2 linked regions of the Oryzias latipes genome follow. The protein of the gene in region 2 purifies or fractionates together with the protein of the main gene of each other region. This does not show direct contact. Links are inferred from orthologs where the notes say so. Each region holds a gene or a part of one and is shown on either strand. Other genes may lie near its edges.

Region 1 (4,408 bases), on a different chromosome or scaffold from region 2:
TAGTTTTCTCTAAAATAACTTACCAAGACTAATTCCCATTTAATATAGATAACTTTTAAAAAAAAAGTGGCGTTTGAAGGAAGCCAACCTGAAGACAGCTGTTTTCGCGTTTCATGTTGTCTGGAACTACACATTTTTCTTTCATTTCCTTTTTTTACTGAACTGGAATTTTTAAGTTTGTTCAGTGAAACCACAAATTCAACCTTTTTAGAATAACCGTTACATGTCTACTGGGAAACAGACGCACCATTCCAATTCTTGCTTTTTGTGTAGAGAACTTTTTTTTAATGCTCATAAGTATTTGTGTCTCACCTTGATCAAAACCCACACAGTCTATGATCACACACAGTCCTCTCGGCTTGCTGTTCAAGCTGTATTGCTCAAGCTGACTCTGAAATGTGAACAAATATTTGACAAATTACCATTTTATGTGGTTTTAACATGTTGAAATGATCAAGAAAGGGTAATACTAGAGTGGAAATTTACCGTAGTGCTTGGTTGTCTGCATTCAGATGTTGGTGGGCTTTCTCTGACTGTTGTGAGAGAGTGACATGATAATTAAGGGCATACAAACCCAAATACCCTACATTTACTCTGGGGCTTTCCAACTGTAATGTTGTAACTGAAAAGCCCCACTAAAATACTGTAATTAGACACTGTCCATGTTTTGACTTTGACTATTTTGTTGTTCTAACAACATCTCTGTCATAAACACATTATTTAGCTGTCATGTGTCTCACCTATGTTTATGGCCTTTCCTTGCCTTCTTTCCTAAATAGGGCACAACAAAAGAAAATGTTTTATCAAAAGTATTCAATTATGAGAGTACAAATGTTGAAGAAATGTTGTGTTACTTACAGAGGTTTTACTACTTTGCTGATGAGGTGAATGATGGTCACATCTCTGAGCTGAAAATTGCATAAACAAACATTGGTAACAAAGAATTAAAGAAAATTGTTTCTTTTTTAGGTGAAATCAGTAATTATTGTTAGTTTATAACAAAAACAATCAAAAAAAACTTTGTATAAAAGTATTTGACTCATTGTTAATATATAAATATAGTCAATACTGATTAATTAGATGTTTTAAAAACAGAGCGCGGCTCATTTACCGGTTCTCATAGACCTACTACAATGAAAATTGTCCTCATGATGGAGGACATATTTAAAGAAAGTTGAGTTGCTGAGTATTTCTTTGTTCAAATCATTGTGAATCAGGAGCAGATGAAAAAATGCCGTTGGTAAAAGCTTGTAGCTCTGACGTAAAACCCACTACAGCAAGCCACAAGCTCCATACTCCCAGCAATTCGGATGCATCTACAAATAGATCCATGTACGTCTTTGTTTTCCATCCGAGCTGACGTTTGACTCAAAACTGTACGGCTGGATAGCTCCAATATTGCTTGCCATTTTTGCTGCACCGGTATTGTGAAGTTGGGGGTGTTGGGGGATGTGAGCTAGAGGGTGAGAGTGTAACACATGGATGATGGGTATGGAGGGTGGGCTTACTTCACACCAACGTCCCGCCCACACTCAGAGGTGAGTTTTCTAATAAATGCCTGTCGCTCTGCAGAAATTATGGATTTTTTTTGATTTTGCCTAAAAACTGCATAATACTAAATAAAGAGCACTTGGAAATGCTTATGAAATAAATTAAAAGATGTTCAGATTGGGTCTTTAAATACCCTCCCTCTTACACTTCCTCTTACTCTCCCACTTCCTAGTTTCCCATCAGTCATTCTCCCCATAGCCCAAACTTCCTATTTCAAACTAAGCACAAGTAATTTTTCTATAACAATGCATACCGTACCTGTCTTTTTATATGTGGATACTTTTTTGGCAAGGTCGATCCTGCAAATGTTCCTCAAGCACTCCTCAACCATGTCCACTCTCTCTGGGGAAACTAAATCAAGTTTCTCAAGTTCAACGATCACGTCCAAGAAACTCTGCAGTGGGAAAGTAATGGGGGAAAAACAACAGCTTTTTCAGAGTGAAAGTGCATAATGACAAAGGTTTTCCACACACGCACTCACACTTTCCATTCACGTCTATTGACCTAGTGGAAATCCGTCTTCTCTACCTTTGCATCCCTTTTCTCACGTGGCAATGTTGTGCTTAATAAGAACAATATCTGTTCTAAGTCTTCTGTGTCTAGATCTTCACTTATGTTGGCCATCAGTACTCTGCAAAAACAAACAAAAAAATAAAATAAAGAATTACCTAACAAACAAGCAGGCATGCATAAAACAAGACACTAAAGGTTTTACCTGAATTTTGAGAGAACTTGTCTGTTTTCCAGAGTCTGTTCTACTGCATTCCTGCTCAGAGTAAAGAGCTCCTTCAAAATGTCATATCTGCCCATGCGCCAAATGACCTCTGCTAGGAACTGGCTGGCATTGTCGTGGCAAGTAACTTGGAGTTTTAGAGTCTCCCTCACGGACTGTACACTACTGTCTGCGCTCGTGCTGTCACACAGGAAAAGCAACTTTCTGCATTCACTACTACTCAGCGCCTCAACTATTTTGTTGATGTAGTAAAGATGATTACGTTGATGATCCAAAGCAGCCATCGGTACGGAAGCAGCCTGGTGACGGAAAACAGAATAATAGAGTATTTAAAAAAATGTATCTAAACTGTAGACTGACTAATTTAACGGGGCTAGATCAAACCACGGTCGTTTATGATAATTCCTATCAGCTCAAAGTCCATAAACATCCAAACGCGATAACCGGAAGTCCCCTGGTTTAACGTAAAAATAAAAGTAGCCTTCAGCTGTAAAAACATTAAGTAGAAAAGAAACAGACGGAGTCTCATAGAGCCTACATATAAACGTAGGCTTGTTACGAGCTTTTAAGAAGTAACCCCCAGTCCGGAAAGTACCGTCGTGACGAAATTGAAACTGAAACTTAAAAAAAAGAAGAAGATTTTTTTAAAGCTATAGAAATAATGGTCTTTATTTTTTCATCTTCAAAACCAACACAATTATCTTATAAATATCTATATTATTTCAGAAAAATGTCACACGTATATGTCACAAATTAAGTTAATGTTAAAAGCAAATAAGACATATATTAGCATTTTTCTTACATAATTATTAAGAACAATCAAATAAGCAACATGGTTTTTGCTATGCAAGTGCATATTTGATGTACTTCATGGAGCAAAATCCTGTTATTTGTATTATTTTATTTGATCCATAGATTTTACATATATATATTATTTGGATATAGATTTGTCGGATGATTTTACATAAACCAAGTTCAATTTTATTTTTTATATTTGCCTTAATGATTTCTACCTTAGCACGAAGATGATTTTAGTCACACGATGTACCAAACCAACGACTGTGTGTTTTCCAATTGTTTTGAACGCATCAGCAACCATGTCCGCCAAGCCCAGCCAATCGCGTTGCGCCCTGGTTCGGCATCCTTGCAGTGTTGGGAGATGACTTAAACCTGTGCGGTTCACAGCAAACGGTAGGGCTGAAAGACACCTTCGAAAGCCGAGTGACCACCCAGGGAAAATAGTGACCCCGCTTAGTTCATGTACAGACGTTTCGGTTACTGTCCCACATGTATCCGTTGATAAAGTGAGTATCATTTTCGTGGCTGAGAGAAATTCATTTTGTGACTTTAAGGTTGGGACTGACTTGGAATATTATCAGTACAGGTTGTAACTTGTGTTGGTGTCTATGTGCAAAACTAGAGGGCTATCAATATCAGTGTCGCCAAGTGGAGCATACATTTAACCGGAGACCACCATGTCCCATTGATGTTGCCTGGCTTTTTAAAAGTGGGTTTGGCCTGGTCACGACTGTTAAAAAAAGAAAAAGAAAAAGACGAAGATGCCCGCCAGCTGCTTACAAGAAGAGGCATGTTAGCGGCTGCAAGCTCTGCTAACGTGGTGACGCTAAGCTCGGTGCACAGGTTAGAGCCGTCGTGGCAAATATGAAAAAACGTTAGCTAGCCTTAATCAACTGGCTAACAACAGCTTTCATTTCGGAAAACTGGTTAGCTTTTGAAGCTCAGGACAACGAGGTTCCTCGTTTTCCCAGTGAAATGTAAATATCTTAGTTTATTGTTTGTATTACGAGATACATCATGTATCTGTACGGAGTGACTTCCAGTCGAACTCCTCATAACGTTTCTGCTATTAATAAATGAAAATTGTTTTATTTTGAAATATTGATCGGAAGTCACAAATATGTTACACTTCAAGGAATTGAAGTATATATACGTTTTTCGCTTGATGCTTGACTCAAGTGCTTCTAAATTTCTTTGCAGTGTAATCTTACTCTGCTTTCTATCAACTGATGTGTTTATACCTGGTCTCATGTTAAAACAGTCGATGTTGGCTGTTAGTGTGTGAATTATTCAACGTATCGTGTCTCTGACTGGGAGCCTGTGACG
Region 2 (3,818 bases):
TTGTTTGCCGTCCAGTTAATGTGATCAGGGCAGAGTGTTCGCTTTGGTTGTGCCAACGCCAAAGCCCATCGCTCCCCTTCATGCCGGCTGAGCGGCAAACACGGAGGTCTGATTGGACGAGGGGAGAGATCTTCAGGAGTCAGGAAGTCAGACTAAAATCAGGAGTTTAGGATTTTATTTGACCGATTAGCTTTTTTTTAACTTCCTGTTTGGATCACTTTAAACATGGAGAAACAAACAGCTGCTATCCTTTCACTGAAAATCCACGTTTGCTTTTGTCAGACGGGCGATTAAACTGGGTCTATCTTTAAAGAGGAGTAAAAGAGGACAAAACCCGTCCTATGTAACAGGAGTCTCTTTTCTGTGGCTGCTGCCTTTCATTGGACACAAAGACAGTCAGTGTGGGAGGACAATGACGTGCAGACACACCCAGTTCAGGCAGGCATGGCCCACTCACCGGCAAACCCTCCCGGACAGGTAAGGCGCTCGCATTCAGCCGCCGAACAAAAACAACAAAGACACGCCCTGCCGCTCCGGAACATCACAAGATCACCATTTCAGCGGGGGGAACACACAAAGGGGGATCAGCTTCCCTAAGACAATCTATCTGTGACCGACTCAGTGATTTTCTGCTCTCTGGTTATCTGATTTTTTTGAATCTAAAGGTTTGGGAGGTTAGTTTCGGGCTTTTTAACATTCTGCTTCCACCGTTCCATCTTTTCGATGGAAAAAAATGTGATTTTTAATTCACCAAATCCATGAAGTGACCACTTGCTTGTTTAGAAAAACAGTTTTTAAAGCAAAACTTTCTCATTGTACTATTACATTTTTTAAACGTTGCTCGTTTTAAATTCCAAACATAGAAAAAAAAATGTTTTTGGAATAAATAGTTGACCAAAAGAAAGACGACTTGGACAAATTAGGCAGAATCAGAAAAATTAAAGCACAGTAAAAACCTGTGGTTTCAAACTGAATTTACTCTGACAGACGGAAAGAAATTTGTTCAAAGTGAACTTTCTTGGTTTTATTTGTTTCCTGAAGCCAATAACCTGATTTTAAAAGCAGTTTGGTTTGAAAGCTGCCTTTCTATTTTTAGATTTCTTTTTTATTTATCTTGCCTAAATGGTGATAAAGCCTTTGTCTCTCAGTAAAGCCCTGTAAAGGGCTGTACTTGGAATATAAAAAAGGAGTTCTAATTAGTTTTATTTTTAATATTTTGTGTTGTGGAACTGAAAAGAGAAGAGATTGAATAAATAATAAAAAATTAGATTGACTTTGAGCCTGTCTTTAAGTGGTATTAAACAGAAGAGTTCACATCAAATACCATTTAAAAACTGTGGAAGTGTCAGAAAACGGCAGGAAGCCCAGGTGATTTTCAAAATAAAGAGGTGGACTCATTTGCAACTTTAACATAAATTGCCACAGAGGAGGAAGAGCCCGTCAAAGACGCAATCAGAGTTTCACATGACCGTCCATCCAGCCGGTCACGATGCAGGCAGGGAGGCCTGTTACCTTGGCGACAGTGGTTGCACGGCAGACAGCGGCCCATCCCGTTGGAGTGCTCGGTGTGCGTCTGGCCGTGCTCGCAGGGCTCACAGATCCCCTGCTGCTGGTCTCTTTCACAGGGCTTCTTCACAAATGTTCCTGCAAATGCAAAAAAAACAACAACACACAAATGAAAAAAAACCCTGGAGTGGATCAGTGAAAAAGACTCATTTCTTTGGTGTGAAGCACTTCCGGTATCAGAGTCCACGCCGACAGGAACTGCAGCCGCTTGCTGCTTAAGCATTCCTTTGATTTGTTCGCGACTCAACTTTAAAGATTTTCTTTTTCTCCTCCAGGAAGTCTTCGTTTCTCTGGGATTACAAGAAAACCCTCAGCAGCGACCCACTTCACTAGCCGATTGTCATGCTTATCTCTGCCATCAGTTCATGCATGCCATGAATAAAACCACTTGAGTCTCATGTGTTTCCACCATTTTCTTTTCTGAACGCTGCACACATAACATAAAAGCTTGTGGGGAAATAAAACGAAGTAATTTGGACCAGCTGGTTTGGGGGGGGGGGGGGGCAGCTTGGTTCCGTTTATGACATGACGGTTGAAAACCCAACAAGCATTCGGTGACGTTACAAAACAAAAAGAACAACTTTGAGATCAAAAACGACATTTTAATCCTCAAGTTTGGAAAGATTCTCAAAAGTGAACACAAATCTAATATGAAAATTGGATTTCATTTAATAAAAAGAAAATTGGCAGCTTAAAAATCTGTTGTCTCAAACCTAAAAACATAATTTTTTGAATTTAACTCCAAATTAAGTTACTTAAGTAACAATAAAATACTTTCCAAGTCAAAAAAATTATGTTTTTCCAACTTGTCTGTAGGAGTTTGGTCATAACAACTTTAGATTTTTACTTTTTTTTTCCTTCTTTAAAGATCTTGGTGTGTTTTACACCCACATAAAGGCGCTAATATTTTCCTACATTTCTGCAGAGTAAAATCATGAAAAATAAAAAAACAAATCATCTGCATCTCAACCCTCAAATGAATGCTGCCAGCAGGCGTTCTGGAACAGGCTTTAAGGTGAAATTTCAGATGGAATTGCTTAATCTCAAAGTGTAATTATCTGAATTAGTCCAACAATGGGGCAAAAAAAAAAAAAACTAAAGGTGATGCTTTGAGACGGTGTGAGGGCTTCAAAAACACAAAAGTGTGTTTAAAAGTTGAAGGTTTGAGCTCTTTTGGTTTGTAGAAACACTGTATGGATGATTAACGGCGCAAAAGACCGTGACCACATCAATTTCACGTCCAGCAAAAAAAATAAATGGAATTAATTTGACTCAATTATGAGCCGGGAAGAAATCTCCTGACTTTTATTCATGGAAAACCTGTGATGTTCTGGTTGGAGGAGGAGGAGGGGAGCGTTTCAGGGCGGCGGGGGATTCCTCACCGGCCTGGCAGTTGAGGCAGCACAGCCCCTGGTGGGGGTACTGCTGGTTCTCCACACACTGCGCCTGATGCTGCCGAAGAGTGGCGTTTCTGTGGACGCCGGCGGACCGCTGAGATGCCGGGGGCTCTGCTGCGTGGCAGACGAGCCCCGCGAAGAGCGCCACCACCTGCGTGGAGGAGGAAAAAAGGAGGTTAAAGCGAGCTGGGCTTTTTGGTCCTTGCAGCAGGCGTCGCCGCCGAGTAAAGACGTCTTCATTAGAGGCCTCGTGTGACGAATAAACGTCTTAATCTGCAGCATCTGATCTGCACATCTGCTTCAGGAGGGCCGTGCAGCTGGTCGCATCTCCAGGCAGGTCTCCCACCATGCAACAGGCCGACAGCAGCCGGTGCCCGTATCGAATGCGACCCCTTTCATGCGCTGGATAATAACAGGCTTGTATAGGTGGGGTACGGGGAAGAATACGGCAAACACTTTAGCGTGTCCCCCCCCCCCAGGCCCTGGTGTTTGTTCACACGCTTTTCACCGTGTCAACGTGAGAAGGCTCCATTCACTGGCAAACAACGCACTTTACTGCCCCTTCTTCAAATGACCCACATTCTTAAAGCCCGGCTCTTTGAATGCCGGGACATGCGACACCACGGCGAGGCACCTGAAGCGCAACGTGACACCTCCCTGGGTAAATCGGAGTCACAGATCGGGAGGTTTTGTCTTCTCCTGAGCATCAACAACCCCCCACCCCTCCCCACAAGGTCAGGAGATAAAGGGAAAGAACGACAAGAAACAAGAGGGGTTGAGACGCTTTAGATGGAAAAAGGCGGCAGCAGAAAGCTCGGCCGTGGAGGGCTGCCATGCTGCTCCGTTCCCCGTCTT

Evidence for each region.
Region 1: the proteins of tumor necrosis factor receptor superfamily member 10B (region 2) and cflar purify together in Homo sapiens (affinity purification with western blotting; 5 studies listed by BioGRID and IntAct, with this or other methods). This does not show direct contact. The link is inferred for Oryzias latipes from reciprocal best matches to the Homo sapiens genes TNFRSF10A and CFLAR.

Annotation. Positions count from the first base shown.
Region 1 is NC_019879.2:19,821,694-19,826,101, forward strand, and holds the start of cflar (CASP8 and FADD-like apoptosis regulator), read right to left. Parts: upstream 2,831-4,408; 5' UTR 2,569-2,830; coding exon 2,267-2,568; intron 2,183-2,266; coding exon 2,080-2,182; intron 1,946-2,079; coding exon 1,810-1,945; intron 909-1,809; coding exon 859-908; intron 772-858; coding exon 741-771; intron 534-740; coding exon 487-533; intron 392-486; coding exon 313-391; intron 1-312. UniProt on the Homo sapiens protein: Apoptosis regulator protein which may function as a crucial link between cell survival and cell death pathways in mammalian cells. Acts as an inhibitor of TNFRSF6 mediated apoptosis.
Region 2 is NC_019870.2:4,560,608-4,564,425, forward strand, and holds part of tumor necrosis factor receptor superfamily member 10B, read right to left. Parts: intron 3,115-3,818; coding exon 2,949-3,114; intron 1,645-2,948; coding exon 1,513-1,644; intron 1-1,512. UniProt on the Homo sapiens protein: Receptor for the cytotoxic ligand TNFSF10/TRAIL. The adapter molecule FADD recruits caspase-8 to the activated receptor.